Canis lupus familiaris: one gene and its partners. The protein of the gene in region 1 interacts with the protein of each later gene in a biochemical or structural test. Links are inferred from orthologs where the notes say so. Each region holds a gene or a part of one and is shown in the gene's direction. Other genes may lie near its edges. The genes, in order: PPARG, CDC34, KAT5, TRIM24, nuclear receptor subfamily 0 group B member 1, CDK5 and NCOA4.

Region 1 (4,006 bases):
TGCTTCCAGAGCATTAAGAAAAGAAATAGACATTTTCTTGGCTCAATATTTCTCATCTGCTTTCAAACTGAATTTTTATAGTTAAGTATATTTTACAGGCACACTGCGTTTCATTTGAGATCTGAGTAGATTTAATCTAAAACTGTAAGATTACTTTATGTTCAAGTGGGTGTGTTCAACCCTGAGTTGCCGAAATGATTTTTTTTTTTTATTGAAAGAAGGTTAAAAACACACTCTCTTGAAAGCCAAGATAAACAACAGATTTTGTATGATTTTTACAAGTCAGCAACAAAGTTTCTCCAAACAACCAAAACTGGAATTATTAGCCAGTCATACATAAGTAAAATGTTGCAGTATAAGTTGAAAGAAAAGAAGACCAAGCTTGGTAAAATATGTTTGGTTCCAGAAGACAATTAGGAGCAATAATCAGGAGATGAGAGTACTTTCTCATTAAGTATCTTCAACCTTAAAGATTTTAGTTAGCGAAGCAAATGTGTATAAAGAAACTGGAATGGGATTCACCCTGAATTAGAGATCTCCAACTCAGCCACTTCCCTTTTTTTTTTTTTTTTTGCAGCCATTTGTTATCTATGACATGAATTCCTTAATGATGGGAGAAGATAAAATCAAGTTCAAACACATCACCCCCTTGCAGGAGCAGAGCAAAGAGGTGGCCATTCGCATCTTTCAGGGGTGTCAGTTCCGCTCAGTGGAAGCCGTGCAGGAGATCACAGAGTACGCCAAAAGTATCCCTGGTTTTGTAAACCTTGACTTGAATGACCAAGTAACTCTGCTAAAATATGGTGTCCATGAGATCATTTACACGATGCTGGCGTCCTTGATGAATAAAGACGGGGTTCTCATATCAGAAGGCCAAGGATTCATGACAAGGGAGTTTCTAAAGAGCCTGAGAAAGCCCTTTGGTGACTTCATGGAGCCAAAGTTTGAGTTTGCTGTGAAGTTCAATGCACTGGAATTAGATGACAGCGACTTGGCAATATTTATAGCCGTCATTATTCTCAGTGGAGGTAAGATGCATCTTTTGATCTTTCGTGGAAGAGGGTGGGACAGCAGTATGATAATTGGAAGAATTTTGACATCCTTTTCTCTGTACTGCACTTTCATGCAAAAATATGCCAGTGGCATGATGCCATGAGAGCATCACTACACAGGTAAAGTACCAGGAGAGAAGATCATAGATTTGCTGTTGGAAGGCTGTGGGCAACCCCAGCCTTTCCAGTCAAATCCAAACATGAAAAACAAATGCCCTCTTCTTCTTTTTTCTCCTTTTTTTTTTTCCTTTTTATTTTCTTTTCCCCTGTCTTTTCCCACCCCTCCCCTTCTCTCTGTTCACTCTCCCTTCTCCTTCCCTTTCCTTCCCATCCCTTCCTTCCCTTCCAGCCAATCTATTCTTCATTTCATTTAAGTAATGACATGTACAACTTTGCTTAAGTCACAGTGCTCACTTGGCATAGAGAGAGCACAACTAAGTGGTTTGGGGCAGATTTTGTTCCTGCTCTACCATCAGGAAGATATTACTTTGAATTGCTTTCCTAATATCAGGAATCGAGTAATATTTATCTACTGACTTCCACCTATTCCCTCAGGTAGATTTATCTGATGGCTTCCCTTAAAGTAACTTTGTGAGGTGGTTGGCTGTGATTAAAAATATAATCTGAACCAGAGAGCACAGAGCAGAGAAATAAATTGAGTTATTTAGCAATTCATTGTATTTTTGGCCTTGCAAGTACATGATCTAACTGACAACTCCAAAGCCAGGTTTTATACTAAATGCTACTTTCATTGGCTACTCCACACATTTCCAGCTTATGTAGAAAGTTTTACTGTCATGTCTCTGTATAAAATTGTCTTTAAGCAATGAGTTTTCATTACTGAAATGGACTTCAGGTGAGCTTTTTGTGTGTACTCTACAGACAGAGGATACTCTTGGCAAAAGCTGACGTGGGGAGGGATGGTGGTCCTATAGATGTAAACTGTAAACTATATAAGATATTATAAAGAACATGGTGTACTCTGTCCTCCTTTGTTGTCCAATTACTTGAGAGCAGAATACTTCTGAAATCGGGTGCCTGATTACTACTAATAATAATGATAGAAAACACTTAAATACCTACTGTCTTCTAAGCAGTATCCTAAGCACATGATACACGTTCACTTAATTCTCCAGCCCAGCAAGAAAAGTACGTTTTGCAAAGGAGGAAGCCAGAGCCCTGAAAGGTTCAGTCACTTGCCCAGGGCTACGCAGCTAACACAGGATAGAACCAGGATTCTGAACTCCGGTAGTCTGGCTCCAGAGTCTACAGTAATACTGCCCTTTAGGTAACTTGGGTGCAAATAGATGACAGTGCAGCCCAGGTTAACTCTGGAGCCTCCACTGCAGTGTCAAGTTGTAACTCCTTTAAAAATGGTGTTTGGGGGGTTATATTTAATGTAACAAAAACTACTGTCCAACATGTTGTAATACCTTAACTGAATCTACTTAAACAGATCACCCCTCGATCCTCTGGGATCCATGATCAATTCAGCAAAGAAGAATAAGATTCTAGTTTATTTGAGGTGCATTAGGAGAAGAAACTTAAATTTTGAAGCACTAGATGAGAAAACAGGTTGTTATTGCTTAGCTAATAATTTGAGGCACATTTTATTTTTTTTAGGCACATTTTATTTTTAATGCAAAATAGAAATATTAACAGTTGATATGTTTCTAAGTTTTTTCCTGAGCATACCATATATTCCATGTTTATATTCAGTCATTTTCCCCACGTCATTATGTACTCTTTGTTAATATTTTTCATTAATTTTTGAAAATAAAAGTAATACGTGGTCATTTCATAATTCAAAGGGTACAGAAAAGTGTGAGTGAAAATTAAAGGCCTCTGTCCTCAGAATAAAATAAGATTAACAAAGTCCTATTCCTCCTCCTGAAAAGTTTCTGTCCATGTGCTAGCATATATATGTATACACACTACCATTTTAATGACTATAAAATATTCCATTTTAAAAAGGACCATTATATACCAAATAATCTCTTTACTTATTTTTTTTAAGATTTTATTTATTTATTCATGAGAGAGAGAGAGAGAGAGAGAGGCAGAGACACGGGCAGAGGGAGAAGCAGGCTCCACTCAGGGAGCCCGACGTGAGACTCGATCCCAGGTCCCCAGGATCACACCCCAGGCTGCAGGCAGCGCTAAACCGCTGCACCACCAGGGCTGCCCAATCTCTTTACTTAGGATTGCTAATTTAAAAACCTATCAACAAGAACATAGAAAATATCAAAAATGTGTTCTAAATTTTTGTTTTAGTGAACATTATTAAGTGTAAATTTCTGTTGAAATTCCAAATTATTTTCTCATTCTAAAGTACCAGAAGTGGAATTGCTGGGTAGATGATTATAAATATTTTGTTACATCATTGCCACATTGTTCACCACAACATTTATGAGTTTATATTCCCACCACAGATATACTAAAGGAAACATTTGAAATAAGCTATTCGAAGATGATTAGTTGCTAGCCAGGGCAGGTTTACACAAGAAACAGTCATGATAATTCTGGACTTTTTTGAACAAATTTTGGGTTTGTTTTGTTTTGTTTTGTTTTGCTTTTTAGGATTTATTTATTTTAGAGAGTATGTGTGTGCAAGCAGGGGGAGGGGCAGAGGGAGAGGGGGAGAGAGAGAATCCTGAAGCAGACTCCCCACTGAGCACAGAGCCCTATTTGGGACTCTATCCTAGGACCTTGAGATCATGACCTGAGCTGAAATCAAGAGTTGGCCACTTAACCAATTGAGCTACCCAGGCGCCCCAGCAAGCAATGTTGTTTTATGGGCCTGTGAGACAACAGGGTGTTTTCATCTAGGAAAACAGCCATTATGGCCTATAACTCATAAGCCAGGTTATTTAAAAACCAGCAATTTATTAGGCTTTAAATTTTTCATTAATTTGTCAAAAAATAACAGTAAGTTGATTGCAGGCTTTGGTTTT
Region 2 (4,468 bases), about 52 Mb from region 1:
GGGAGCGGGGCTTCCGTCGGGAGATCCTGGGATCTGGATTTGCAAGAATCGTGATTACTTCTAATTACTATTTACTGGCAAGCTGCCCCATGCCGCTGCTGACGTGGGCGCCGCGGGCACAGAACGAGGGCCAGGGAACCCCTGGCCAGGGGCACGGAGCCAGGTGGCCCGGGGTGCGGGGCAGCGGCTGCCCACTCTGCGGATGGGAACGTCAGGGTCCCCGCCTTGGGGCAGCCGCCGGAAGCCGCTGCCGGGCCCGGGGCTCTTCCTCCGGTCCCCTGTCCCTCTCCTCTAGATGAAATGCTGCTTCCCTCGCGCCAGACAAGGCTCCCTGTGTGTCCTCACCTGGGCGACGGCAGCGGGGGGCGGGGGGGCAGGTGTTGGGGCACCTGGAGGAGGGGCTCGCAGCACAGGTGCTGGTCTGGGGCCTGCCGGACACCTGCCAGCGAGGCTGCGGGCACAGCGCCACGCCCACCCTCTGGGTCCCTGAGGGCGTGGAGGATGGAGGCCGGGGCCAGGTGTGCGTCCAGGTGTGCGTCCAGGTGTGCGTCCAGGTGTGCGCCCGGCGCGGTGGGGACTAACCCCGCCCCCAGCTCGGCCCCGCGCTCCGCTCCCCCGAAGGGAAACTGAGGCCCCGCCCTCCGCTCCTCCCCTTCCGCGAAGCCACCTGCTCCGCCCCGCCCGGGCCAGGCGACCCCGCCCCGGCCCCGCCCCGCGCTGGGACGTCATAGAAAAGACCCCAAAAGCCCCGCGGCGCGTGCCGGGCCGGCGCAGCCCAGCCCTGCCCGCCTCCCCGCGCACAGACGTCCGGGGTGCTCGTCCGAGCGGCGGGCGGCGGCGGCGGCCTCCCGGGGGTCGGAAGCGCCCAGGCGCCTGCGCGCTTGGCCTCCCCCCCCCCCCCGGTCCCTCCCGGCGGTCGCGCCTGCGCGCTCGGCGGGCCGGGGGCGGGGACTCCACTTCCCGGCGTGCCCCGCGGGCGGGCGCGCAGGCTCAGTGCGGGCCCCGCCGCGGCGCGCAGGCGCGGTCGGGGGGCCGGAGGCGGCGCGCACGCGCAGCGCGGGGCGGGGCGCGCGGGCCAGGCGGAGGCGAGCGCCGGGCGGGCGGCGGCGCCAGAGCGAGTGGAGCGTCCCGGGGTCCCGGGCGGCGGCGGCGGCGGCGAGGAGGAGGAGGAGGAAGGCGGCGGCGGCGGCCCCGGCGTCCCCCCGGCCGGCGCGCGGCCCGGCCCGTCCCGCGCCCCCGCGGCGGCCCCGCGGCCCCGCGCGCCCCCGACCCCGGGCCCCGCCGCCGCCGCCATGGCCCGGCCGCTGGTGCCCAGCTCGCAGAAGGCGCTGCTGCTGGAGCTCAAGGGGCTGCAGGAGGAGCCGGTGGAGGGCTTCCGGGTGACCCTGGTGGACGAGGGCGACCTGTACAACTGGGAGGTGGCCATCTTCGGGCCGCCCAACACCTACTACGAGGGCGGCTACTTCAAGGTGAGCCGCGGCGCCCCCGCTCGCCCCGCTGCGCCCCCCGCCGGCCGCGGGGTCCCCGAGCCGTCCCGCCGCGCTGCCTGGAGCCGGGAGGGCCGCCGCGCCCGGCCTTGGCCGCGTTTCCCTGGTGTGACAAAGGACTGGAGCCAGGCCCCGGGCGGCCCTCCTGACCTCGCCGCCGGAGCCCGGTCGGGCCGGAGGACGCTTCTCAGGTTGCAGGGCCGGGCCGTGCACGCGAGCCAGAGGCGCGGGCCAAGGGGTCTCGCTGCCGAGCGGTGGGGAGCGAGCCCTCGGCCCAGGCCGGCCCAGGACCCTCCCTGCTCGGGAGCCTGCGCGCCCCGCCAGGCCCCGCCAGGCCCCGCCAGGCCCTGCCAGGCCCTGCCAGGCTCTGCCCCGGGCAGGGTGGGGAGCAGAAGCCAGGCGGTGGGGGAGGGGCGGCCGCTGCTCCCGGGGCACATGTCTGTGTTTGCACTTTCAGCTGATGTTTTAGCTGAGCCTGCTCGGCCGCGGGCGTGAGGGAGCAGCCTGGTCAGCTGGGGCGACTCCCGAGTTGCGAGCACCCCACCGTGGTGCTGCAGTGGGACGAGGGGGCGTGAGCGTGGACAGCCCTGGGCTAGCTTCTGCATGGCCGGGGAGCCCGGCCCCCGCTGGCACGCAGGGCACGGATTTGGGGTTGGCCACCTAGTAGCGCATCTAGGGCCCTCGCCAGCCTCCTGTGTCTGCTTCGGGCTGCAAGGGCGACGGCTCTCGCAGCCGGGACGCTCAGGCAGGCCGAGCCCCTGGGTGAGGCTGCAGAGCTGGAGGGAAAGGGCACAGGCTTTGGGCTTCTGATTTTTGCCGGTTAACTGGTTGCAAGGGATTGTGGGTAGATCCTCCAGGATGGCTTTGGGGGGGAGGGGTCATCCCACTTGAGAAGAAGGGACTGGAGCTGGGCCACGGCCAGATTTCCAGATGCCACAGGCCCTGTCTGCAGGAGGCCGGCCTGGGCCCCACACCCAGTGTGGTCCTCGTGCAGGTGCGACGGGCGGGAGCGGAGCTGGGGAAGCGCAGGGAAGTACCACCGTCACTTCCAGCCACTTCCCCCAGCGCCCTGCGGCCAGCCCGGCCTCCCGAGCCTCCGTGACCAGACGGGGTGCCAGAGACAGGCAGTTCAGAGGCCTCCTCCCGGCTTATCGCCGGGCGTCCTCAGTAGGGGACTTTCCTTCTCTGAGCCTGAGCTTGCTCAGTGGTGCGGTCTCCCCGGGGGATGCTCGATTCGGTGGGTGCTTGGTGCCAGGGAGCCCCCCCGCCCCGCCCCCGAGGGCCATCACTGGAAACTCTTAGGGCAGGTTCTGAGTTCCAGGAGTGCTCTGCAGTCGCCAGCCAGCTGCCTGCCTCCTGGGCCTCAGCATGGTCACCCCAGAGCAGAGGGACTTCCCCCAAATGCCCCGAGTGCCCCCTGCCCAGGAAGGAGACTTTCCAAATTCGGGCCTGGGGGAGTTGCCGCACACGTGCCCAGCTTTGTCTCCCAGCTCGCTGGCTCGCCCCTGCCGGCCTGGAGCTCCGCCAGGATCCGGGGCCAGGCCTCCCCACGTCTGGGCCTGGGGCTCAAACAAGCCAACACGGCTTCTTTACCTGCTGAGGCCTGAGCAGTGTGTCACCTGGGCAGGTGGCCCTCCCCAGTCTGCCCCGTGACCTTCCTGTCTGCCTTCCTGGCCCCCCCGTGATGGACACTTGTGGGCAGAGAGCCCGTCTGTCCAGCGCTGACTCATCTCCTCCCACAGGGCCCGGCCCACAGAGGTGTCGGGAGTGATTGCTGAGTGAACACACGTCTATTTTAATCTTCCCCACAACCTGGAAACTGAGGCCGAGGAGTCCACCACCGTGCGGGGGTGCACAGCTCCCAGGGCCCTGCCAGCCGGAGCCATGTGCCGGCCCGAGCCCGCCGCGCTCCCTGGGGCCTGGCTGCGCGTCCCTCCCACAGGCCTGGACTGAGCACGGCCTGAGACCTGCTCCCAGCCGCGGGGTGGGGCCCGGATCGGCTCGGGGGACCCTGAGTAGTCCTGGGGCCTGCGGGCGGTGCGTGCGGCAGGCAGGGTCCAGGCGGCCTCCGGGCGGGCGCGTCTGTCCCAGCTCACACCCTGGTCTGCGGCCCTGGGCTGGGGGCCGTGGGCGGCACTGGCTGAGCTCCTGCGCTCTGCCCTCCCAGGCACGCCTCAAGTTCCCCATCGACTATCCCTACTCCCCGCCGGCTTTCCGGTTCCTGACCAAGATGTGGCACCCCAACATCTACGAGGTGAGTCCGCCGCGTGCCCTGCAGCCTCCCTGTCGGGGGACACGCTGCGCTGCCTGCCGAGTGGTGAGCGGTGTGGGCCCTGATCCCTCCGTCCTGTACCCACAGACGGGGGACGTGTGCATCTCCATTCTCCACCCCCCAGTCGATGACCCCCAGAGTGGGGAGCTGCCCTCAGAGCGGTGGAACCCCACCCAGAACGTCAGGTGAGAGTGGACCGGGCCCTGTGTGAGGGGCTGCTCAGCAGATGGACCCCTGCCCCTGTGGGGCTCCCTCAGGCCCGGCCAGCCCTGGGGCGCGGACGCGGGAGGACAGGGCCACGACTCCCTGCAGTACCGTCCAATCTGCCCTGGCTGGCCTCCCGCCGGGATGCGGGGGGCCCCAAAGACCCCTGGGCCAGCTCGCAGGCCTGTCCTCATTTCTTGAAGCCCCCTGGCCCGTCCACCATCAGGAACAGTCGCTGGGAATCTCGAGTCCGCTCTGGCTCCCTCGGTCCCTCCACCTTTCCCCGGGGGGGTCTCCTCCCTCCGTCCCCCACGGAGCCCAGTCCCCTGTGTCTCAGGGCTGAGCCGCTCACTGAGTGGCCCGGCCTCCCTGCTTCCCGGCCTGCACGTCTGGGTCCAGCCCAAGCCGTAACAGACACTGTTGTCACAGAGGGATCCACTGGCCTTCAGGATGTCTGGGGGGCGGGGACGTGGGTGACGCAGGTGGTCCTCGCTTCAGCTGCCCG
Region 3 (3,156 bases), on another chromosome or scaffold:
TGAGTGAGGACCAGTGCTTCATTATCCCAGCTGTAACCTGAGCCTTGCAGATAGTGGATGCTCAAAATGCTAAAGTGATGTTAACTCAGCAAAAATAAGGAAGCACTGATTTGTGTGGATTTGGTCTCTGCTCCTTGGATTCAGGCAGGTCAGTCTCTTAAAGCCCACAAGGGACTCTGCCCCTCATCATCCGTGAACTCTTCTATGTCCCCCACCCGCAAGGCCCCCTTTTGCTTCCCAGCATCTTACATCACTCCACTCAACTCACCACTCACTGAACCCTTGGGATAGTTAAGTTCTGACCTGAGAGACAGGAGGGAGCCTTAGCTGTTTGGTGAAGTCACAGTGGCTTGACTTGATAAGGTCATGATCCATTTGAGTTATTTTATTAATAGAATGATGCCAAGATGGGGTCACATTCTCAGGAAGCCCTCAGCCTGATATGTGGGCGGATACTTAAAATGAATCCAAGCCTTGAAGCTCAGACCTCCATGGAGATAGGATGTGGGCAAGGACACCAATGTGATGTGCTCACTTCTGCCCAGCAGGAGCAGACAGGTGCACTGGGAGTGCCCATTCCGGGCAGTTCTTGAGGGCAGGTGGATGTTCACTGGGGAGGGGCCAGGAGCTCCTTGCAGCTGGGGAGGCTGATGTGGCAGGATCCCACATGCACTGGCAGGCCCAGCAAAGTCAAGTAGGGACCCAGGTGTGCTCCCTTCCTCTTCCAGGCTTCCTTTCTCTAAAGCAGGAGCTTTTCTGTCCCTCTCCCCAGCAGGCTGCTTGGTGGAAGTCACAGAAGATTGGGCAAGACTAGCTGATAAAGATTGGGAGGGGTAGGCAAAAAGGGCTGTGAGCCTACATAGCTGTGACTGAGGGTGAAGAAGGGCTTATAGAGGTAATGAAGGACACCCCAGGACCCTGAGGGAGAGAATGAAGACTCTGCCAAGAGACACGAAGCCATATAGGATTTTGCACAGCCTGAGGGGCTCCCTAGGAACTGCCTGCTAGTGCCCAGTAATCAGCAGGGTAGAGGAGGACAGAGCAGTCGGAGAGTGCCTCTGGAGAGGTGAGTTACCTGCTGTGGAATGGCCGCCTTCTGACCTGGGAAGTACATTAGTGCCTCTCCTTGCTTCTTATCAACACCTAGTCAGGCCAGCCTGGTCCTGGAGCAGCCAATGCTCCCCAGGTCACAGCTAGGGGGACTGACTTGACTGCAAATCCAGACATCCTGAGGCCCAGACCACACGTGGGGGCTGCCTTCCCTTCTCACATACCCAGGAGATATGGTCTGGAATGATGAAAATCAGGCACTTGCCTTTCTTGTCATTTTCTCTGCACTTCCCTGGTTCCTGAGTTTTTCTCCAGGTGGATTATAGCTGTTCCTTTCAGTACCCTCCACAGCACAGAGATGAAGAGTGAATGCTCATTAGCTCTCTGGGGAAACAGACACAGCAGACTAGCTACGTATGTCAGGTCACAGAACTACCACATGGCAAGGGTGAGATGGGAACCAGGCAGTTTACTCCTGTAACCATATTCTGAAAGTTGCATGAAGGTGTGATCGCTTACCCACCCCTTCTTGCTGCCTTGCTGTAGGCTATGAACTCTCCAAAGTGGAAGGGAAAACGGGGACCCCTGAGAAGCCCCTCTCAGACCTTGGCCTCCTATCCTACCGAAGCTACTGGTCCCAGACCATCCTGGAGATCCTGATGGGGCTGAAGTCAGAGAGCGGGGAGAGGCCACAGATCACCATCAAGTGAGCCTGGCCCTACCTCTGACCCTGGGGGTGCATGGCATGGCCCATCCTCATTCCTGGGGCTCCTGGGGGCTTGGGGCAGAGAGGAAGGCCTCCAGAGGACCTGATCCTTGTCCTCCCACAGCGAGATCAGTGAAATCACCAGCATCAAGAAGGAAGATGTCATTTCTACTCTACAGTACCTCAATCTCATCAACTACTACAAGGTAGGGAGGCAGGCAGGGGGAGACGTGTGTGTAGGGCTGCAGAGTGTGCACCCCACATGGGCTGACCCTTCCGGTCCTATCTCCCATCCAGGGCCAGTATATCCTCACACTGTCTGAGGACATCGTGGATGGGCATGAAAGAGCTATGCTCAAGCGGCTCCTTCGAATCGACTCCAAGTGTTTGCACTTCACTCCCAAGGACTGGAGCAAGAGGGGAAAATGGTGACCAGGCACTGTCTATAGCAGTGGCAACAAAGCAGAACTGGGGCTGACAGCACATCCCACCCCCACCAGGGCCCCCAAGAGGCACACCAAGGGAGGTGGGGCTGAGGACAGCTTCATAAGGAGAGGACAGGCCTGGTAGGGGCTAGCTGCCCAGCACCAAGGCGAGCTCAGGGCTCAGGTCAACTCCAAGGTCAACTGGCTGCAGGTCTGGGCCTGCTATGAAGCAGGGACTGGACGGAGCCAAGCAGCTATGTACAGTGAGATGGGGGGTGGGTGCACTCTGTACAGAGGGCTAGTGGCTGTAAAAATTTCTTTTGTAAGGAGTTGGGAGGAGGGGTGGGTACTGGCAGCAAAATTCTGGCCTCTTGCCCTCACTGCTCCTTGGCAATAAATCATTTCTATAGACTGAGCCATGAAAGTTTCTTGTGGGAGAAGGGGTAGTGCCAGCTTAGAAGACTCCAAGGTGCCCACAAACTCGCAGGTGCTGTGAAGAGCTTGTTTATTGGGGTGATGGAATCAGTGGTTCCAAAATGAAGAGCTGGTTTATTGGGGTGAAGGAACCAGTGGCTTTCAATTTCAAGTTCCGGCTCTCAGTCTTCAGGCACCTGTGCGTGAATCTGCAACAGGAGTCACCTCTACTATTGGGTTTTTGACACACACTGGGTGGCCCACATACTCTGGGAGTGACCCAGCTACTCAGAATGACAACCCCTTCTAGACCAGTCAGAGGTAGGGAAGCGCCCCTGCCCCTGACCAGTCTAATCCAGTCAGACCCAGGCTCCTTGTACCCCATTGTACTCCCCGGCCCTGAAGCCCCAAGTCCACTCGGACAAGATTCTGGACAGTCCAGGGAATACCCTTGAAGGCACAAGGGAATGGATGGGGCCTGAAGAGTGAGGTCCCATCCCCCTACTCACCGCTGCGGCCAGACTGGGCCAGGTTAGGGCCCCGCGCACTTTGGCGTCCGGA
Region 4 (4,747 bases), on another chromosome or scaffold:
TATCCAAACCCCCATATAGGGCATAAGCAGTTATCGCCCCATACCATTCCACCAGTAACAGGCCCTAATACCTATCACCCCATTGGGACACAGCCTCTTACCCCTCCCCTTTAAAAGCTCGCCTGTGCCAGCCCCGGTGGCTCAGTAGTTTAGCGCTGCCTTCCGCAGGGCGTGATCCTGGAGACCCCAGGCATGATCCTGGAGACCCCAGGGTATGATCCTGGAGACCCAGGGGGTGGGTCAGTGATCCTGGAGACCCCGGGCATGATCCTGAAGACCGGGGATGGAGTCCCATGTCGCGCTCCGTGCGTGGAGCCTGCTTCTGCCTGTGTCTCTGCGCCTCTCTCTCTCATGAATAAATAAATAAAATCTTAAAAAAAAAAAAAAAAAAGCTCGCAGGTACTCCCTTTGGGCGCGACTTCCCCGGCTGCGCTGCCTTGCCTGAGAGCGCATCCCATTAAAAGCTTGCCTCCACCTACCTTTGCTGGGCCTCTGTTTCATTTCACTACCAACCAGATCAAACCTGACCAAAAAACACGTGTGTACCTTCTACCTGGAAGCATGTGCACCTTGCGAGGGGGGGTAGGGGGTGGGATGAAGGTGGGGGCGGGGTGGGGGATGAAAAAAGTCATTGAAGGAATTACTTGGACATCCGTAAGGCCTGACAATTCACTTGTTTTTCCAACTGTTGTCCTATTTATGCAATAAAGAACACTTTCTGACAATCTTAACCTATTAGTGTCTCGGAGACAGAACTATCTCTCCTCATTTAAAAAGCAAATCGCCGACTTAGAAATCGATTTCACCTTTTTTTTTCACTGGGGGTGGTGGTGGAATTCTTTAAACACTTCCAAGGCGCAAGAGAACATCCGTCCTTCCGCATCAGGTCCCATCACTCACGGGAGCGAGGCGCGAACTCAGGCGGCAAGCCCACGCTGCCCCCACGACGTCCCATCCACACGTTTCTCCACCTATAAAATTCCTCGCTTGCTCGCTCTTCACAGTCTCCATCCACTTGGTCATCCTTTGACCCTCCCGCCGTATTCACCCCACCTGCGGGGACCCGGATCCTCAGCAGGAAACCGAGACTTCTGCAAGCAAGTTACTTAATTAGCCGCGCTGCGCGCCCGGCGGCGGAGCTCCGCCCCCCGTGGGCGGGGCTAACGCAGGCGGACCCAATTAGTCCGTCCGTCATTAACAAACGATCCCTTGATCTTCCTAGAGGAGCGCCACGCACAGCAAGGCCCAATCAGAGGCCGCGGCTGGGGCGGGGGCGGGGCTGGGCAAGCGCCTTCCCACCTCCCAGCCTCCCGCCGCGGCCGGCGGAGCCTCGCGGGCTTGGGCAGGCCCCGCCCCCTGGCCAGGCGCGGCGGCGATTGGGCGGCGCGCTCCTCGCCGGGGCCTCAGTTGCCGGGAGCGGGAGGGCGGGGCCTGAGGCTGAGGTGGGCCGGCGCTGGCGGGGTAGGGCGGGGGGGCCCGGACAGAAAGGCGGGGAGGCGAGGGCGGGCTGGGCGCCTTCGACGAGCGCCGAGGCGGTTGGCGAAGCGGACGGGGCGCAGCCTTCCCGGTGCGAGGAACGGTTCCCGCTGACAGATCCCCTTCTTCCGGCCGCGCCACCCGGGAGGCGGATCCCCGGGGCCTGAGGAGGCTTCCTCGGCCCGGCCCGCCCTCCGGCCCTCCGTCTCCCGCGGGTCATCCTAACGGCCTGTGAGGAGGAGGAGGAGGCGGAGGAGGAGGCGGAGGAGGAGGTCGTCGGGGGCGGCGGCAGGCGGGGACCGTGCTCCCCCTTCGGCGGCGGCGGCGGCGGCGGGGGCAGGACAATGGAGGTGGCTGTGGAGAAGGCGGCGACGGCGGCGGCGGCTTCGGCGGCGTCGGCGGCGGCCGCCGGGGGGCCCCTGGCGGCGCCGAGCGGGGAGAACGAGGCCGAGAGTCGGCAGGGCCCCGACTCGGAGCGGGGAGGCGAGGCGGCCCGGCTCAACCTGTTGGACACTTGCGCCGTGTGCCACCAGAACATCCAGAGCCGGGCGCCCAAGCTGCTGCCCTGCCTGCACTCCTTCTGCCAGCGCTGCCTGCCCGCGCCCCAGCGCTACCTCATGCTGCCCGCGCCCATGCTGGGCTCGGCCGAGACCCCGCCGCCCGTCCCCGCCCCCGGCTCGCCGGTCAGCGGCTCCTCGCCGTTCGCCACCCAAGGTGAGAGGCGGCCGAGGTGGGCGCGCGGGGGGGAGGGGAGCCCGGGGCGCCCGGGGCGCCCGAGGAGCCTGAGGAGCGGCCCCCCTCCGGGGCAGGAGGCGGGCGCCCGGGTGCGGCGCGACCCGCTGTCACGTCGCCGCCGCCGGGGGTGCGCGGCGGGGGAGGGGCGAGGAGGAGGGTCCGCGTCGGCGGCGGCGGCCGCGCGCCCCGCGAGCCACTTCCCCGGGCGCCGAGGGCTTGGCGGCGGCGGCTCCGCGTTCTCCTCCGGGGCTGGAGGAGCGCGCCCCGCACTCTGGAAACCTGGGCTGGAGCGGGCTGCGCCGCGTCGCTCGGCTGCTTGGCCCGCTGCGTCCGGCTCACTGCTCTGCCCTCTGCCTCCCCCGGAGCTTTGTCCCGGTCGGTGCGGCCCTCATCACCCGGTTCGGACCCACGTCATTTGAGCCGGGGGTGGTGGGCGGTGGGTGAAGACGAAGCGACGGGGACTTTTCTTCGGGGAGACGCGTGGCAGATCCGGATGCTGTTTTCTGTCCTGCACGTATGTTTCGGCTTCTTTGACGCGTCTCCCCGATTTCTCTCCCTTCTGCCGGGACGGAGGGACCCAGAGAGACGGTATGTGGTTGTGTGTGTGTGTGTGTTTGCATTGGAAGGTTTTCTTTCGCAACGGTAAAGGGTAAAGAGAAATAGAAGGGAGTGATTTTTTTTGGGGGGGGGGGGGCGGGCGGCCCGCAGGGTTTTCTTGTATTTTGTAGACGACAGCTGGGTAATGAGGACGTTGCTGTTCTCTTTGGTGGTGCATTTGTTACTGGGTAATGAGACTTTCGACAGGTCGTTCCCATTGCGAGCGTTAACAGGTTTGAGACCTTTAAAAAGTGAGTCAGAGTAAGCGCAGTAAGCATCCTAGGAGAATGAGGATTGTAAATTGCGACTTTGCGGATTCGGGAGCACCTACCTCCTTTTTAAAAATAGAAAGTAATTAGAAAGGGAATGATTCTTTTTTTTTTTGATGATTCGTTTTGATGTATACTTTCAGAGGGTCTGGTTGATTAAGTTTGAGATAAAATGCTAATTAAGTAATTGAGCCTATGTTAAGGGGTATATGAAATCGGTGCTATAGACAGACAGTAGTGTTAGACTCTGCATTTGATTCTGTGTTTGGAACAGTATCTGGCCTAGGGAGCCAGTTTTCCAGCGGTCTCTCAGTTTCTGCAGGTCGTGCCAGGGAGGTACTGTGACTGCCCTTTGTTTCTGTTTTTGAAAGATGTTTGTATAAGGATCAGCCTTGGAAGATAGAGATTGTGTCTTCCACCAGAGCAAAGAGCAGGCGTGCGTGTGGTCCAGTGTGATGTCCACTGGAGTTAAAGACAGGCATGCTTAGTACCCACGATACAAGATTGGGGTGCTCTAAGCTTAGGTTTCCTCTGGTGTAACACAATCCATTGCCTGTGCAGGTGTCAGCTGGCCCTTTGACCTTGCCTGGTGGGAACTGGGGTTCCGGGAAGGAGAGCAAAAATGTCGATGCTTCGGTTTATGTTAGCTTTGGCCTACGTTATTATTGTGAGTAGCTAATAAACGTCCCTGGTCTCTCACCCATGAGTCTGCCTTCTACCATGGTAAGCTAGCTTGCAAATAGGCTGAAGTCTCTGATCTTTCACTCTTGTTTTCTCTCATGTGGCCCACCTGTTGGAAATTCAGTACAGGTGAAACAAATCCTAGTTCTTAATGTTTAGACACAGTCTAAGGTCTCTTTTATTTGCATTTTAATTGGTTAAATAGGCTAGTAGCCAATCAGGATCTGAATTTTGCGTAATTCTAGAATTAAGGTTTATCGTGTGCCTGGCCATGATATTCAGACCGGAATGAATGAGAACAGGGGGAATAAATGCTCTGAAACTAAACTCTGAGACAGGTTTTAAGTTCCAGATTTCTCAAAATGTTCAATGCGATTCTAGTCTAAATATATTTTATCTTGGTGTTTGTATTACCAGCAAGAGTTCAAGAAAGCATATAAATTGGAAGGTAATGGTCTCTAACAAATGATTCTTTAAATACACTGTTAAAAAAGAGGGTCATTTTCTATAAATTAAAAATACTACCTATCCTGAATCTTATTAACTTGAATGTTCTTCGTCCCTCTCCTTGTGAACTTACTCTAATACTAGCTGAGATAAAACTTTAGCCAGCACATTTCATAAATAAATAGGGTTCATTTCACCATCTCTGTTCTTCATTCTCCTAATGAACTTGTGGGTACAGTCATCATGGATCAAACTATATAATACCTACAGGAGCTAAGCTAGTTATCTGAGTTGGAGAACTATGAGCTTGGGGGTAAAATAATAAGGAAAGTGAGGAGTGAAAGGGAGGCGGGCAGCAAACTCAGCTCTTGCAGATTGTCATGTAAGAGAAGAGAGGGCCAGTATTTTTTTTTTTTTAAGATTTTATTTATTTATTCATGAGAGAAACAGAGAGGCAGAGACACAGGCAGAGGGAGAAGCAGGCTCCCTGCAGGGAGCCGGATGTGGGACTCTATCCCAGGACGTGGATCGTGACTTGAGCC
Region 5 (4,588 bases), on another chromosome or scaffold:
CAATAGGAAACCAATACACGGCCCAAGGCCATAGAGTTAGAAAGAGTGAGGGCAGGAATTAGAATTGAGGCAATCTGGTGCCAGTGCTGGAGATTTAACCTTTGTGTTGTAGGGCCCCTCACAGGCAGAATAAAATTTCAGGTTGAATGCAAATCAGTGTCTCCTAGGTATTCCTCTTATGCTCAGAATTCCAGGCCCCAGAGAAACTACAAAAGGAGAAAGATGATCCTATGGCAACTGGTACACATTAGTCTTCAGCCCCGGACCCGTGAAATCACTAAACAAACCTCCCATTTTAGAGATGAGGAATCTGAAAACTAAAGGGTTGTGAGTTTGAAGTTAAGCAGCTGGTTGGTGAAACAGTTACACAACGGGGGCAGGTGGTGATGTGGAAAGACCCACTGATCTCAGCGCCTGTATAGAACTCAGGGAAGGAGGCTGTGTGGCCAGTGAGGATCAAAGGAGCCAGGCTTGGGACGCCTGGGTGGCTCAGCAGTTGAGCATCTGCCTTTAGCCCAGGGAGTGATCCCAGGATCTGGGATCGAGTCCCACATTGGGTTTCTTGTAGGGAGCCTGCTTCTCCCTCTGCCTCTCTCTCTCTCTCTCTCTCTCTCTCTCTCATGAATAAATAAATAAAATCTTTTAAAAAAAGAAAAAGAAAAAAAAAAAAAAAAAAAAACAAAGGAGCCAGGCTTCCTGAAACCCGTGTTTCTCATTATTGAGGTAGGAGGGGTGTGAGAAGAAACATTAATTACACGACTACCCAAGGCAATACTTTTTAGAAGAACCCAAAGTTCTCACTGAAGTAACCTTTTAGCACCTGCGATTATTATAACCCCCAAATATTAGCCCCTTTTACATCCTGGTCACTCTTGCTCTTTAATACATAAAGTGGGTGTTCATGAATATCAACTGAATCAAACAAAACGCTTATGACTGCATCCTTAAAGCAGCGCTTTTCAAAATGTAAAGGGCATGCAACCCCCACTCCCCTCCCGCCCCGGGAACCTCATTAAAATGCAGATTCAGAGTCAGAAGGTCTGGCTGGAGACCGAGGTGGGGCATTTCTAGCAAGTTACCACGCAATGCTCTTATCGCTGGTCCGTGGTCTTTACTTTTCAAGTTCCCTGAAAACGAGACTTCCCCATCCATATGGAAAACATAAGTCATAGAAAGTTTGAGCACTTAATGAAAGTATTCAACGATGGCATAGAAATAGATGGTCCCCGTTTAATGAGGCGCGCCTGCCCCTCCAATAAAGGGAGCAAACGAGATGCCTGGTTTCAGTGAAAAGAGTTGGAACCCTGCCCCCGGATTATCTGCTACCTCCTCTGCGCTCTGCCTTCCAGAGGCAGGGAAGGGTGGAACGAGAGGAACGGAGTGTCCAGAAGCTCCCATGCCTCCGCCCCCCCTTCATTCTCAGCCTTTAAGGAGCATCTGCCCCTTTTTAACCGCTGAGGTCAAGGGCGAACACTCCCGAGCACAGCGCCCGCGCCCCCCTCCGCGCCCTTGCCCTGGCGGAGACGGCCGACGCGCGTGCGTGCGCGCTTGGTATAAATAGATCCCAGGCGGCCGCCACCCGGACAGAGTCGGGTTCCGGGCACCGCGGGCCATGGCAGGCGAGGACCACCAGTGGCAGGGCAGCATCCTCTACAACATGCTCATGAGCGCCAAGCAGACGCACGCGGCCCCGGTGGCGCCCGAGGCGCGGCTGGGGGGCGCGTGCTGGGGCTGCTCGTGCGGCGCGGAGCCCGCGGCGGGCCGAGGGGCGCTGCCGGGGGCGCGGACCACGGCGCTCCTGTACCGCTGCTGCTTCTGCGGGGAAGAGCACCCGCGCCAGGGCAGCATCCTCTACAACATGCTCACGAGCGCCAAGCAGACGCGCGCGGCTGCGGAGGCGCCCGAGGCGCGGCTGGGGGGCGCGTGCTGGGGCTGCTCGTGCGGCGCGGAGCCCGCGGCGGGCCGAGGGGCGCTGCCGGGGGCGCGGACCACGGTGCTCCTGTACCGCTGCTGCTTCTGCGGGGAAGAGCACCCGCGCCAGGGCAGCATCCTCTACAGCTTGCTCACCAGCGCCAAGCAGACGCACGTGGCGCCGGAAACGCCCGAGGTGCGGCCTGGGGGCGCGTGGTGGGGCCGCTCTTACAGCGCCCAGGGCCCGGGGGGCAGAGAGCAGCTGCCGGGCCGGCAGGCCGTGGCGTACCTGTCCCGCTGCTGCTTTTGCGGGGACGAGCACCCGCGCCCCGGCAGCATCTTCCACCGCTTGCCCGCGAGCGCCAAGCAGACGCACGCGGCTCGGGAGATGCAGCCCGCGGCCCCCTGGTGGGACCCCCGGTGTGACGCGCAGCGCCGAGTGGCCCTCAAGAGTCCACAGGTGGTCTGCGAGGCCGCCTCGGCAGGCCTGTTGAAGACGCTGCGCTTTGTCAAGTACTTACCCTGCTTCCAGGTGCTCCCTCTGGACCAGCAGCTGGTGCTGGTGCGCAACAGCTGGGCGCCGCTGCTCCTGCTCGAGCTGGCCCAGGACCGCTTGAACTTTGAGACGGTAGAGACCTCGGAGCCCAGCCTGCTGCAGAGGATCCTCACCACCAGGCGGCGGGAGACCGCGGGCGACGAGCCGCCGCCTCCGACCCCGCAGCCGCCCCCCTTGGTACCGCCGCGCGAGGCCGGGCGTTTGCCAACGGCCGCTGAAGTCCAAGCCATCAAGTGCTTCCTTGCCAAGTGCTGGAGCCTGGACATCAGTACCAAGGAGTACGCCTACCTCAAGGGGACCGTGCTCTTTAACCCGGGTAAGTGCGAGACCTCGGGCGCGGGCTTTCCTCCGTTCAGAAAAACTCCGGGCAACGGCTGGCCGAGGCACAGGCACTTAAGAGTTTTCGGTGGTCAGGGGAGGGTCGGGGAACCAGCGAAGAATCTCGAGTAACTCAGCAGAGTTGGGGGAACTCCAGAAAGCACTCCTCGTGGGTGGGCTGCTGTCAGACGCAAAACAGAGAGCAGGGGGATTGGGTGATGGAGTTTAGTACTTATCTCTCTCCCCCCTCTGTTACTAAGGAAAAGTTGGTGCCATCAAGGCACAGGGCTGGTCCTCCTCTAGTCTTTTAAATCCAGTAGTGTAGCTATAAAAAAAAAAAGCGCACAACTTTGTGTTCACTGCAAATCCTGCCACATGTCTTTCTGAAACCCAGTTCTGAGGTGAACTACAACTTTTTGTGAAAGGAAATCTATTCAGGCTCCTAAGAAAGGAAAGCTTTGTTAAGGAGTCCTGGAGTGTCTCCCAGGGACACTGTCATGCAGGACGCTGGACTTGCCTTTCATGGGACTGCTTCTGAATGATCACGTTTATGGTCCTAAGCAGCTGGACTATGTCCTCCTCAGTGTGTCCGTATCAGGGTACTAAGGGGGCAGGGAAAAAACACTAGGGACTGCCAGCAGGAGCACTGTCTTTTAGAACTTGCAGAGACCCTAGGGACCTCCTCATCAGGCCCCTCTGCCCTTCACCCTGACTCCATCCCATTTGCAGATTAGGTAACCTAGTCCCAAGTGACTTTACTCCACAGTAATGGCCAGTGAGTCGTGGAACATGGATCTCCCAGCCCCCATGGGATGTCTGCTGCACACACTTTCAAGTTGTCTGTTAGGTGCTGGACACTGCCCCCCACACACCAACCACATCATGAGAGAACATCTCCATGGGCTACCCAGCACCTTTTCTTGAGTATGTGCCATTACTAGAGCTGTCTTTGACCAGAATCCCTCCAAAAGGGTCACAAGTGGTCACAAAGTTTCCAGGCAGCTTGAGTTGGGATAGTTTGTATAATGCTCCCTCCACACCTTTTCCCTCCCTAACACCAGGAGTCTCTGGTTATGCTCCTGCCTAGCATTTTGTGAAAGGGCACAGAGCAGTATCTAATAGGATAATATTTCATTCAGAACTCACATTTCAAGACCTAGAGACCACAGCTCATCCCAGGGATCACAGTAAGTCACCTTTTGCTTATATTGTTGTTTTCCAAACTTGGCTGTGCATAAGGGGAGGGGGGCACTTTTTCAAAGTCTTACCAGGCTCCTCCCTTGGAGGTTCTGATTTGGTAGCTGTGGTCCAGGGTCTGCAAATCCGCATTTGTAGTAAGTGCCCAAGATGGTTCTTCAGATCATTCTTCAGCCAGTGTTCTTTTTTTTTTTTTTTCAGCCAGTGTTCTTAAACATCTACCATGTGCCTAGCTCTGTTGGAATATAAAAGAAAGGCAGGGGCTCAGCTTCTTGAACTTTACATTCCACTAGTTTCCCTCTTTCCCTCCACCCTGTTTAGCATACTCTGGTCATTCTCTCTCTCTCTCTCTCTCTCTCTCACACACACACACACACACACACACACACACCTCCCTTATTCTATCTAGTTCTCTGAATCCTCTCACTGTGACTTTAATCAGCTAAGCTAAGTGTGTTTTCAACACAAATGCACCTGCTAAGTGTGTGCCTTTTCTTAGATGTTTATCCTTTTGTTGTGAATCCTCTGATCTTTATGTTTAAACACTTTTTTAAATTGTGGAGTCCATCTGTCCACATTTTCTCTTTCCTGAATTTACTTTATGGG
Region 6 (4,509 bases), on another chromosome or scaffold:
TCCCCGCGCGGGACTTGGGCGCCCCGGGGACGCCGTCTTTGGGCCGCATTAGGCACCTCTGGGCGGAAAGAGGAGACACACACGGGAAAACGGAGACACGAAGATGTTCAGGAAACATCAGAGGAACTGGAAATATTTACGAATGCGTCGGGGTCGAGATTCTCCCCCAACCACCCCCCGCTACTCCCCTGTAATCCCCAGTGCCTCCAAGAAAGGCCCTTTCTTTGCTGCGGTGGGGGCGGGAGGGGGATGGCGATAGGGGTGACGGCTCCTGGAGGTTGGATTCCCATTGCCCTCAGCTGACCTAGACTTTCCGAACCCGGGAACTTCTGCCTCAGAGTGATTCCCTGCGGCGACCTCCCCCCTCGAGCCCTATTATAATCATCCCCTGCCACTCAAGATTTCTGTATTTCTAGTTTTCTCAACTAAATTATAAATTCTTCCACATAAGAAGTATACTTTTTTATTTTTTAGCCTGCCAGTAGGTGAAGCACAGCATTGTGTATATGCAGAAAACGTTCCGATATAAACAAGTTAATTAACAAATGTTTATCACCAACTATGGTTCTGGTGCTGAGCAGTGCTGTTTGGGGCCGTTTCTATCCAGTTCACAGCCCTCAAGAATGCAATCATGAGACAATTAGAGAGGAGCGCAGGAAAATCTATAATCAACTCCTTAAAGGATGAGGTCAAGGCTGCTGCAAGTGTAGCATCTGTCTGTGCTTCTGTCTGTCGAGGGCGGCAGCCAACCTGCCAGCTCTCGGCCACACCCTGGCTGCCTCCGGTGGGCCCGGGCTCTCCAGGCCGGTACCAAGGGTCTCCCAGGGCTCCAGCCAGCTTGCCTCGGGAAGTCACAGTGTAGCGAGCGGCTGGAGGCAGGTGGGCTCCGAGACGACAAACAGAGGGCAGGAAGGGGTCTCTGGCGTAGGTTAAATCCCGGGGCACACCTGCCTCTCTTCCCAGCCCCTTGGTTCAGCTGGTCCCTGTGAAGTCATCGTCAAGGCATGGCTCGGAGCCATTGCCCAATCAATCCTGAGGTCTCCAGATGGCCTGGGGAGAGGTGGGAGTCCGTATTGCCGTTGTCAGGAGGTCGCTAGAACCTCAACACCATCAGCCGGGCCAGAGCGCTCCCCTTCCGGCCCAGGACGCAGGCCGCCAAACCCCAAACCCAGAGAGCGCCCCACCCCCACCCTCTGCGTTCTGGAATGCGTAGTCCCAGAGAGGCCCTTTTCAAAAAAAGGTAGTGATCACAGAAAGGAATAACAAGAGCGAGGCACACTGGGAGCCTTGGCGCTTCGGCGGTGAGGCCCGGAAAGCGGACACGCGATGCTTCCTGGGACTTGAAGTCCAAGGTTTTCCTCCGCGGTCGATCCGGAGTCCCGGGAAGCGAGTGCTGCAGAGAGCCCTTGAGCAGCCTGCTGGGAGTTGTAGTCTTCTCGTGGTCTAATGCCGCGCACATCGCCGGCAAACCTGGCTACCCTTAGTACTACACGCCCCAGAAGCCCATGCACAGTCAGGAGGGCGGGGCAGGGCCGGAGGCTGGGGTGCCGCCTCCTCTGCAACGCCGGGGCCGAAGTCTTAGAACCCAGGGCCCGTAGGGGTCCCCGCGGCTGCCGCGATGCAGAAATACGAGAAACTCGAGAAGATTGGGGAAGGTAATGGGACTACGAGATGTTCCTGCAAGATCTTCCTCTACAGACCCTTCAGCATTCCTTGGAACCCTGGCTTCTCTACCGTCAGCAATACCCACAGGCTCCGACTTCAGCACTGGCTGCAGCCTTGGCCCCGAGCTCTCAACACTCCTTGCAGACACCCATCCTTTTCGTTAGCATTTCCCGCAGTCGCCCCTTCCCAACCTTAGCACTTCCTGGAGACCCACCTGCGGACATTAGCACTTCCTGCGTCTCCTAGCCCTAGCCTCAGCACCACCCGCAGAGCCTCACCCACCCACGCCGGCCCCCCAATCCCCAACCCCAGCTTAGTTCTCAATGCAGACCTCCGGCCTCATTTCTGCCGCCCCTCACTTTCCTCCCAGACCTGTTCGCTATTTCCAGACCCTCCGGAAGCACCGCCTTTATTACAGACCTCCTAACCCTGGCAGCTGCAGCCTCTCCCTGCTGCAGACACCCGTGAGCCATCTGCAGGCACCTTCTCTGCCCCATCCTCACTTACAAAGCTCCTCCATGCTGAACCTTCACCTGAGTCTCTCCCCCTACTCCTCCAGTCTTCACAAATAGCACCCTCCCACGCTGCCTGAATTCCCCAGGGGGACTTCATGGGGGTGGGAAGGGTGTCCCATCTTTACCCTCACCCCTGACCTTCTTCCTCTAGGCACCTACGGGACAGTATTCAAGGCCAAAAACCGGGAGACCCATGAGATCGTGGCTCTGAAACGGGTGAGGCTGGATGACGATGATGAGGTAGGACTGGAACATCAGGGCCAGGGTGGGGGTTGAGGGCCCAGGTTGGGTGGGATGTGACTGTTGCCCGCCCGGCCCCCTCCCATGTGTAGGGAGTGCCGAGCTCAGCCCTTCGGGAAATCTGCCTACTCAAAGAGCTGAAGCACAAGAACATCGTCAGGTGTGTAGATGGGCAGGGTCCTCCTGGCCTGTGTGATCAGTTGGAGGAGGGGGGCTTCAGAGAGGGCTGGGCTGATACTGGGATCAGGGTTGGGCTGATAATAGGGACGTGAAGCTGAAATTTGCAGACCTGCCTGGCTGAGCCCTTCCTCCTCCCTAGGCTTCATGACGTCCTGCATAGTGACAAGAAGCTGACTTTGGTTTTTGAGTTCTGTGACCAGGTGAAAGGGGGACTTGGGAGACAGTGTGGCCTTGGGAGGGTGTAGGGGCCCCAACTGAGGTTAAACTCTGGCCCCTCCCCCAACCCCACCTTTTTCTAGGACCTTAAGAAGTATTTTGACAGCTGTAATGGTGACCTGGATCCTGAAATTGTGAAGGTGAGGGGCTGGTGTCCCGGAGACTCAGGGAGGCAGGACGGGAGTCTGTCTGCGGTCTGCGCACCCTCTGAGCACCAGGTTCAGGCCCGGAGTGGAGACACCCTGGAGCTTCAGGGAATGAGAAAACCCTGTTGCTGCCCTCCACAGGCCTCCCTCCTTGCAAGCATCTTCCCATGATCTCTTTGATCTGACAGTAACACTCCGGTATCAGTGATGTAATCTGCACTTGAGGGATGAGAAAATGAGATTCAAAGAGATTCATCCACTCGTTTGTTCACCAAATACCTGTTGGGTGCTTTGCCATGTGCCAGGCACTGTTTTAGGCCCAAGGCCAAGTGCCTTGTCCCGGGTTCCAGGGGCAGCAGTCCTGATTAATAACATAACACAGTATAGATACTGATGGCTACGAAGCATGTGCTTACATGAGGCCAGATAGGGGACAGATCAGGCTGTAAGTTCCAGAAAGAGTCGGACCAAGGCTTTCATGCACTGTTCCTATGTTAATACCTAGCACATTACAAAGCCAGTCCTCCACAGTGAATGAATGATGTCGCTGAAGGACAGGTGGGGTTTTGAGGCAAAGCAGAGGGTGAAGAGGGGCGTGTGGCCCACCCCTGGGTACAGCGTCCCATCCATAAGATCTAACGCCCTACCCTACACCTCCCTCCCCCCACAGTCATTCCTCTTTCAGCTGCTGAAAGGCCTGGGATTCTGTCACAGTCGCAACGTGCTGCATAGAGACCTGAAGCCCCAGAACCTGCTAATAAACAGGGTACCTTCCAGGGAGAAGGTGGGGGAGTGGGGAGGCCGAGGCAGGGGACCTGCCCTGAGACTGTTGAAAAGCCCTCTCCATGTCTCTTCCTATCTCCCTTCAGAATGGGGAGCTGAAGTTGGCTGATTTTGGCTTGGCTCGAGCCTTTGGGATCCCTGTTCGCTGTTACTCAGCCGAGGTGAGCTGGTGGGTCTGTGTGTAGGACATGGGGCCGAGGGAGGGGGTCCTCTCCGAGCATCTTTCATCTCCTCCAGGACCCCAAACATGATTTTCCCCTCCTTCACAGTCCTCTAAGTGGGGGTCGCGGGGGGTGGGTTCTTCTCCAGGTGGTCACGCTGTGGTACCGCCCACCAGATGTCCTCTTCGGGGCCAAGCTGTACTCCACATCCATCGACATGTGGTCAGCTGGCTGCATCTTCGCAGGTGACTGGCTGGGGGTCTACAGAGGCACTTACTTTCTCTCCCACTCGAGTGGACCCTCAGTAGGGTCTGAAGTGTCTCCTCTGGGGAAGGGAGTAAGGCCCTTGGGGAGGAGGACGAAAAGCACAGAGGGTGCCATGGAATGAGGGGTTCTTCACATGTCCCCTCCTCACACCCTGCTCCATCTCGCAGAGCTGGCCAACGCAGGGCGGCCTCTTTTCCCCGGCAACGACGTAGATGACCAATTGAAGAGGATCTTCCGATATCCTTCGATGTTTCCCTTCACTTTGAGCTCTCTGAAGGGGAGGAAGGAGGGGCACCTGGCTGGCGCAGTCGGTAGAGCATGTGACTCTTGATCTCC
Region 7 (4,006 bases), on another chromosome or scaffold:
TTGCCTAATCATATCCTTTGTTCATTTTTGTCTTTATTTGTGAAGGCTGATTATGTAGAACTACCAGCCTCTTTTCTATCAGATAGGCTACAAAAGCTTTCTCTTAGTTTGTCTTTAGTATTTTTAAGTTTTTTTAAAACTGCAGAAATTTGTTATTCAATACATATTTTAATATCCCAACAGAGAAATCCTTTCCTTGGCTTTATATACTTAAATTTAGAAATTCTAGGGAGTGTAAATAAATGAACTCTTATCATTGAACCCCAAAGCAGCCATAATGTTCTATGGACTAATACTGCATACTTCTTGTGTAGACTTCTGCCAGAGCCTGCAATTTCTTCGGTAAAGTCTGGGGCAACCTAAAGGGCTTAGAAAACTGGCTCCACCAGAGTCAGCAACAAGAGGTTCCCGAAAAACCAACTTACCAGAAGTGTAACAGCCATTCTACTACCAGTTCATACTCTGTTGAAATTGAAAAGATTGGAGATCTGGACCTTCTTGAGCAGGACGAGATGGACCTTTCTGATTGGCTGGTGACTCCTCAGGAATCCCATAAGCTGGAGAAGCCTGGGAATGGCAGCTGTGAAACCAGTGGGAAGTTTAAGCTCCTGTTGCAGGTGTTCCAGGAGCCATACAGTGTGAATGATTGGCTTGTCAAGCCCGATTCCTGTACCAATTGTCGGGGCAACCAGCCCAAGGGTGTGGAGATTGAAAACCTGGGCAATCTGAAGTGCCTGAACGACCACTTAGAGGCCAAGAAACCCTCGTCCATTCCCAGCATGATTAATGAGGATTGGCTTGTCCAGAATCATCAGGACCCATATAAAGTGGAGGAGGTGTGCAAAGCCAATGAGCCCTGTACGAGCTTTGCAGAGTGTGTGTGTGATGAGAACTGTGAGAAGGAAGCTCTGTGTAAATGGCTTCTGAAGAAAGAAGGAAAAGACAAAAATGGTATGCCTGTGGAACCAAATCCTGAGTCTGAGAAGTGTATAGATTCCCTGAGTGTGTGGCTCTGTCCTTCCAGAAAAGAGGCAGCACAACAAGCTAAGATGTCAAAGGCAGTGGCTCCTTCTAGAATTGCGGATTCCTTCCAAGTCATAAGGAACAGCCCTTTGTCAGAGTGGCTCATCACACCCTCATGCAAAGAAGGTTGTCCCAAGGAAATGCTTGGTACTGAAGACAGAGCTAGCAAGCAAAAGCCTATGAACCCAGTGGCCACTTTCTGCCATCCTTTTAATACAGCTGACTGGGTCTTGCCAGGAAAGCAGATAGGAAACCTCAGCCAATTATCCTCAGGAGAAGACAAGTGGCTACTTCGAAAGAAGGCCAAGGTGAGCACAGAATCTGAACTATACTTAGTAGATAGATACTTTCTTAATCCCAAATCTTGCAGATGGGCCAGATCCTGAAATATGTTAAATGTTATTTGGCATATTAATCTTGCTGGAACATCTGATTCAGACTGAAATTTTTGTACATTTTCCAGGCTTTCAGGCCCCATCCTGCAGGAAAGAAAAACAACACCTCAGTTTTAGTGGTTGTTTTGGGGAAAGATTAATAAACAATTTTACCTTTTCTCTTGCTTATTTGAGAGAATGGCCAACATGTACACATTCTTTAGAGACACTACACTGTTGGGCAGATGAGTTAAGTTGGTGTCTTGCCTCCCAGTTGTCATGTAGCAACCCACCGCTTTTGTCTTCTTGCAGGAAGTATTACTTAATTCACCACTACAGGAGGAATGTAACTTTCCCCAAGACCGTTATGGCCTCCCAGCAGTTTGTGACCTCTTTGCCTGTATGCAGCTTAAAGTAGACAAAGAAAAGTGGTTGTATCGAACTCCTCTACAGGTGCGTACATGTCTCTAGTGTAAAAAAAAAAAAAAAAAAAAAGATTTTAGCTGCTTGTCAATTTTTTTTTTTTTTTTTTTAATGTTTTGTCTTCTATATGAATTCACACTTGGCTTACTGAACTATAGTCCTGTTAATGGTGTGTGTGCTAGGCAAGTGATGATGGCTGGGGGATCGTAACAGTTTCAGGTATTTTCACTTGAACTTGCTTTATAAAATAACTAGGACATACTTGAAAGTGACCTTTTAAGATGATATAACTATCGGGAATTTTCAGAGCCTGTTGTGGATTCTATTAGCTTGAGAAACAAGTCTGAGCTTTAAGGCGGGGAAGATTTGCTTTTATCCTATAGTGAAGGGACTCTAATCTGTGGACGTTTCTTTACAGATGTGAAGCAATGGAACCCAAGTCAAGCAACTTTTCTGCAAATTATCCCATATCCATGGGCCGAGTGACTGTGCAGCTTGCCAAATCATTGTGTTTCTGGGTCTGACCAGTCAGCTTAGTTCCTTTCCTGCCTAGTTGAGCTAGTGAAGAGAAATAAGTCATCGAATTATAAGTTACTGCATAAAAGAAAAAGACTGTTGATGCTGAGGTGATTTCAGTTCCTTTCTACAAAAGTATTAACTCAGCCCTACACTAGAAACAAACAGCATCTTGGTGGATAGGTCTTTTTCATAAGCCTCTACAGCTCCTTAGATTGAATTGTTACTAGAAGTACATTAAAACACTGTAGTTTTAAAAATGAAATAGTTCTGTAATCAAAGTGTGTTGATATATTTGAAAGCTAGTAAGCTTCTCTAATCTTTTGATTGTCCTCCTTTAGATGCTCCCCGTGCTGTGGGTTTTCTTCCATTGGTGGTGGAAATAATGATTCTTCTGTTTAGTGTATTTCACACAAATAGTTAACCTTGCCAACATAGTGATTTTTTTTTCTTACCACAACATGTATTAACAATCTTGGCAATTTTTGACATTGATTATACAAAACATTTTAACTTACATGTTAGATTCTACATTATTTTTCTTCTTTTGAAAGAGATTCAGCTACTGCAAATTTGGTCTGTTATCTAAATGTTATTGAAGTAGCTAATGAGCTTTTAGAAGAGCTCCGTATTGTTTCAAGATTATATCCAGGGTAGTCCTAGCCACTTTCATAATATTCTGAACACAGGTAAAAGAGCCCTCCTGCTGAGTAATCAATCAAAGAGCGAAAGGCAAGACATGTTGGAAACGTAGTATTTGAACTGTTAGCTATCCTAAGGGTTATTGGTGCATCCTGTGTAAAGGGAAGCTGAGTCTGACACCTGGTGCTTTTAATTAGGAATAAATGAAATGTTCTCACTGCAAGCATAATGTACCTATACCTTTGGAAGTTTCAGAATGCAGTGACATTTTAGTGAATAGGCTGTTTTGAACACTTGTGCCTTGGGGTGTTTACTGAAGCTTTATGAAAACTTTGATGTTTTACCAGTATCCTTAAAAGTCCCGTCCATGCTTTAAAAAGTATCTCTGTAGGAAATGCGATTTATAATGTTTTTAACTTCTCAAAGGTGAGATATCTTAGCTGCTTTCTGGGCTTTCAGACAAGTTTTAAATTCAGCTTTCCTGTTACTTTTGAAGTTTGTGATGTGGTCATCTAAAAGCCCTTTTGGAGAAACTTCAGAGTCCTACAGTCCTTGCCATACAGCTTCATTTGACTTCTTGAACACAGCTGAAAAGAACCTATTTTTTGGTCGTCGCTCCTCCCCCAATACCACTTAGAACTTTAATAATAAAGGTGGCAGGTAAAAATTTAAGGAGCCTTTTCCATTATCTTATGTTGCAGGAAACTTTGTAGTTTTGAAGTTTAATGATGTGTTCCTAATTTTATATTCATCATCATGCTAATAAGTATGTAAAACATTCTTTTGTGTTGAAGCATTTTGTACCTCCCTTCATTAAAAGCACAAACAGGCATAGTTGTGTGTATCTGTAAAACTGCCTTATCACAGACTGTTCTACCACAGTGACCTTTGGGTAGGAGTACAGCTAAGAACTTTTATATTAACTTAAATATCAAGTGTATCTTATGAATCTTAATATAGCAAAAGCTAGGTATATTACCAGTTTCATTTTGAGTCTTTTCCTGCAGACTTCAGATCTGCTCTTTTAA

What was found.
Region 2: the proteins of PPARG (region 1) and CDC34 form a complex in vitro, tested with the Homo sapiens proteins (2 studies listed by BioGRID). The link is inferred for Canis lupus familiaris from reciprocal best matches to the Homo sapiens genes PPARG and CDC34.
Region 3: the proteins of PPARG (region 1) and KAT5 form a complex in vitro, tested with the Homo sapiens proteins (2 studies listed by BioGRID, with this or other methods). The link is inferred for Canis lupus familiaris from reciprocal best matches to the Homo sapiens genes PPARG and KAT5.
Region 4: the proteins of PPARG (region 1) and TRIM24 interact in a test that uses a peptide from one of them, tested with the Homo sapiens proteins (2 studies listed by BioGRID). The link is inferred for Canis lupus familiaris from reciprocal best matches to the Homo sapiens genes PPARG and TRIM24.
Region 5: the proteins of PPARG (region 1) and nuclear receptor subfamily 0 group B member 1 form a complex in vitro, tested with the Homo sapiens proteins (2 studies listed by BioGRID, with this or other methods). The link is inferred for Canis lupus familiaris from reciprocal best matches to the Homo sapiens genes PPARG and NR0B1.
Region 6: of the proteins of PPARG (region 1) and CDK5, one has a biochemical effect on the other in vitro, tested with the Homo sapiens proteins (3 studies listed by BioGRID, with this or other methods). The link is inferred for Canis lupus familiaris from reciprocal best matches to the Homo sapiens genes PPARG and CDK5.
Region 7: the proteins of PPARG (region 1) and NCOA4 form a complex in vitro, tested with the Homo sapiens proteins (2 studies listed by BioGRID, with this or other methods). The link is inferred for Canis lupus familiaris from reciprocal best matches to the Homo sapiens genes PPARG and NCOA4.

What each region holds. Positions count from the first base shown.
Region 1 is NC_049241.1:6,222,624-6,226,629, reverse strand, and holds part of PPARG (peroxisome proliferator-activated receptor gamma), read left to right. Parts: intron 1-577; coding exon 578-1,028; intron 1,029-4,006. UniProt on the Homo sapiens protein: Nuclear receptor that binds peroxisome proliferators such as hypolipidemic drugs and fatty acids.
Region 2 is NC_049241.1:58,444,456-58,448,923, reverse strand, and holds the start of CDC34 (ubiquitin-conjugating enzyme E2 R1), read left to right. Parts: upstream 1-1,270; 5' UTR 1,271-1,292; coding exon 1,293-1,469; intron 1,470-3,654; coding exon 3,655-3,741; intron 3,742-3,846; coding exon 3,847-3,944; intron 3,945-4,468. UniProt on the Homo sapiens protein: E2 ubiquitin-conjugating enzyme that accepts ubiquitin from an E1 ubiquitin-activating protein, and catalyzes its covalent attachment to other proteins by an E3 ubiquitin-protein ligase complex. In vitro catalyzes 'Lys-48'-linked polyubiquitination.
Region 3 is NC_049239.1:52,000,779-52,003,934, reverse strand, and holds the end of KAT5 (histone acetyltransferase KAT5), read left to right. Parts: intron 1-363; exon of another isoform or gene 364-1,323; coding exon of another isoform or gene 1,324-1,434; intron 1,435-1,596; coding exon 1,597-1,756; intron 1,757-1,880; coding exon 1,881-1,962; intron 1,963-2,053; coding exon 2,054-2,188; 3' UTR 2,189-2,596; downstream 2,597-3,156. Other genes in the region: RNASEH2C (ribonuclease H2 subunit C), read right to left, coding at 1,324-1,434, 3,105-3,156. UniProt on the Homo sapiens protein: Catalytic subunit of the NuA4 histone acetyltransferase complex, a multiprotein complex involved in transcriptional activation of select genes principally by acetylation of nucleosomal histones H2A and H4.
Region 4 is NC_049237.1:9,918,622-9,923,368, reverse strand, and holds the start of TRIM24 (transcription intermediary factor 1-alpha), read left to right. Parts: upstream 1-1,820; coding exon 1,821-2,190; intron 2,191-4,747. UniProt on the Homo sapiens protein: Transcriptional coactivator that interacts with numerous nuclear receptors and coactivators and modulates the transcription of target genes.
Region 5 is NC_049260.1:25,562,618-25,567,205, reverse strand, and holds the start of nuclear receptor subfamily 0 group B member 1, read left to right. Parts: upstream 1-1,597; 5' UTR 1,598-1,612; coding exon 1,613-2,783; intron 2,784-4,588. UniProt on the Homo sapiens protein: Nuclear receptor that lacks a DNA-binding domain and acts as a corepressor that inhibits the transcriptional activity of other nuclear receptors through heterodimeric interactions.
Region 6 is NC_049237.1:15,833,222-15,837,730, reverse strand, and holds the start of CDK5 (cyclin-dependent-like kinase 5), read left to right. Parts: upstream 1-1,513; 5' UTR 1,514-1,618; coding exon 1,619-1,655; intron 1,656-2,331; coding exon 2,332-2,420; intron 2,421-2,512; coding exon 2,513-2,580; intron 2,581-2,739; coding exon 2,740-2,800; intron 2,801-2,899; coding exon 2,900-2,956; intron 2,957-3,632; coding exon 3,633-3,728; intron 3,729-3,831; coding exon 3,832-3,906; intron 3,907-4,054; coding exon 4,055-4,151; intron 4,152-4,340; coding exon 4,341-4,410; intron 4,411-4,509. UniProt on the Homo sapiens protein: Proline-directed serine/threonine-protein kinase essential for neuronal cell cycle arrest and differentiation and may be involved in apoptotic cell death in neuronal diseases by triggering abortive cell cycle re-entry. Interacts with D1 and D3-type G1 cyclins.
Region 7 is NC_049249.1:1,944,973-1,948,978, reverse strand, and holds the end of NCOA4 (nuclear receptor coactivator 4), read left to right. Parts: intron 1-314; coding exon 315-1,331; intron 1,332-1,709; coding exon 1,710-1,850; intron 1,851-2,238; coding exon 2,239-2,244; 3' UTR 2,245-3,831; downstream 3,832-4,006. UniProt on the Homo sapiens protein: Cargo receptor for the autophagic turnover of the iron-binding ferritin complex, playing a central role in iron homeostasis. Acts as an adapter for delivery of ferritin to lysosomes and autophagic degradation of ferritin, a process named ferritinophagy.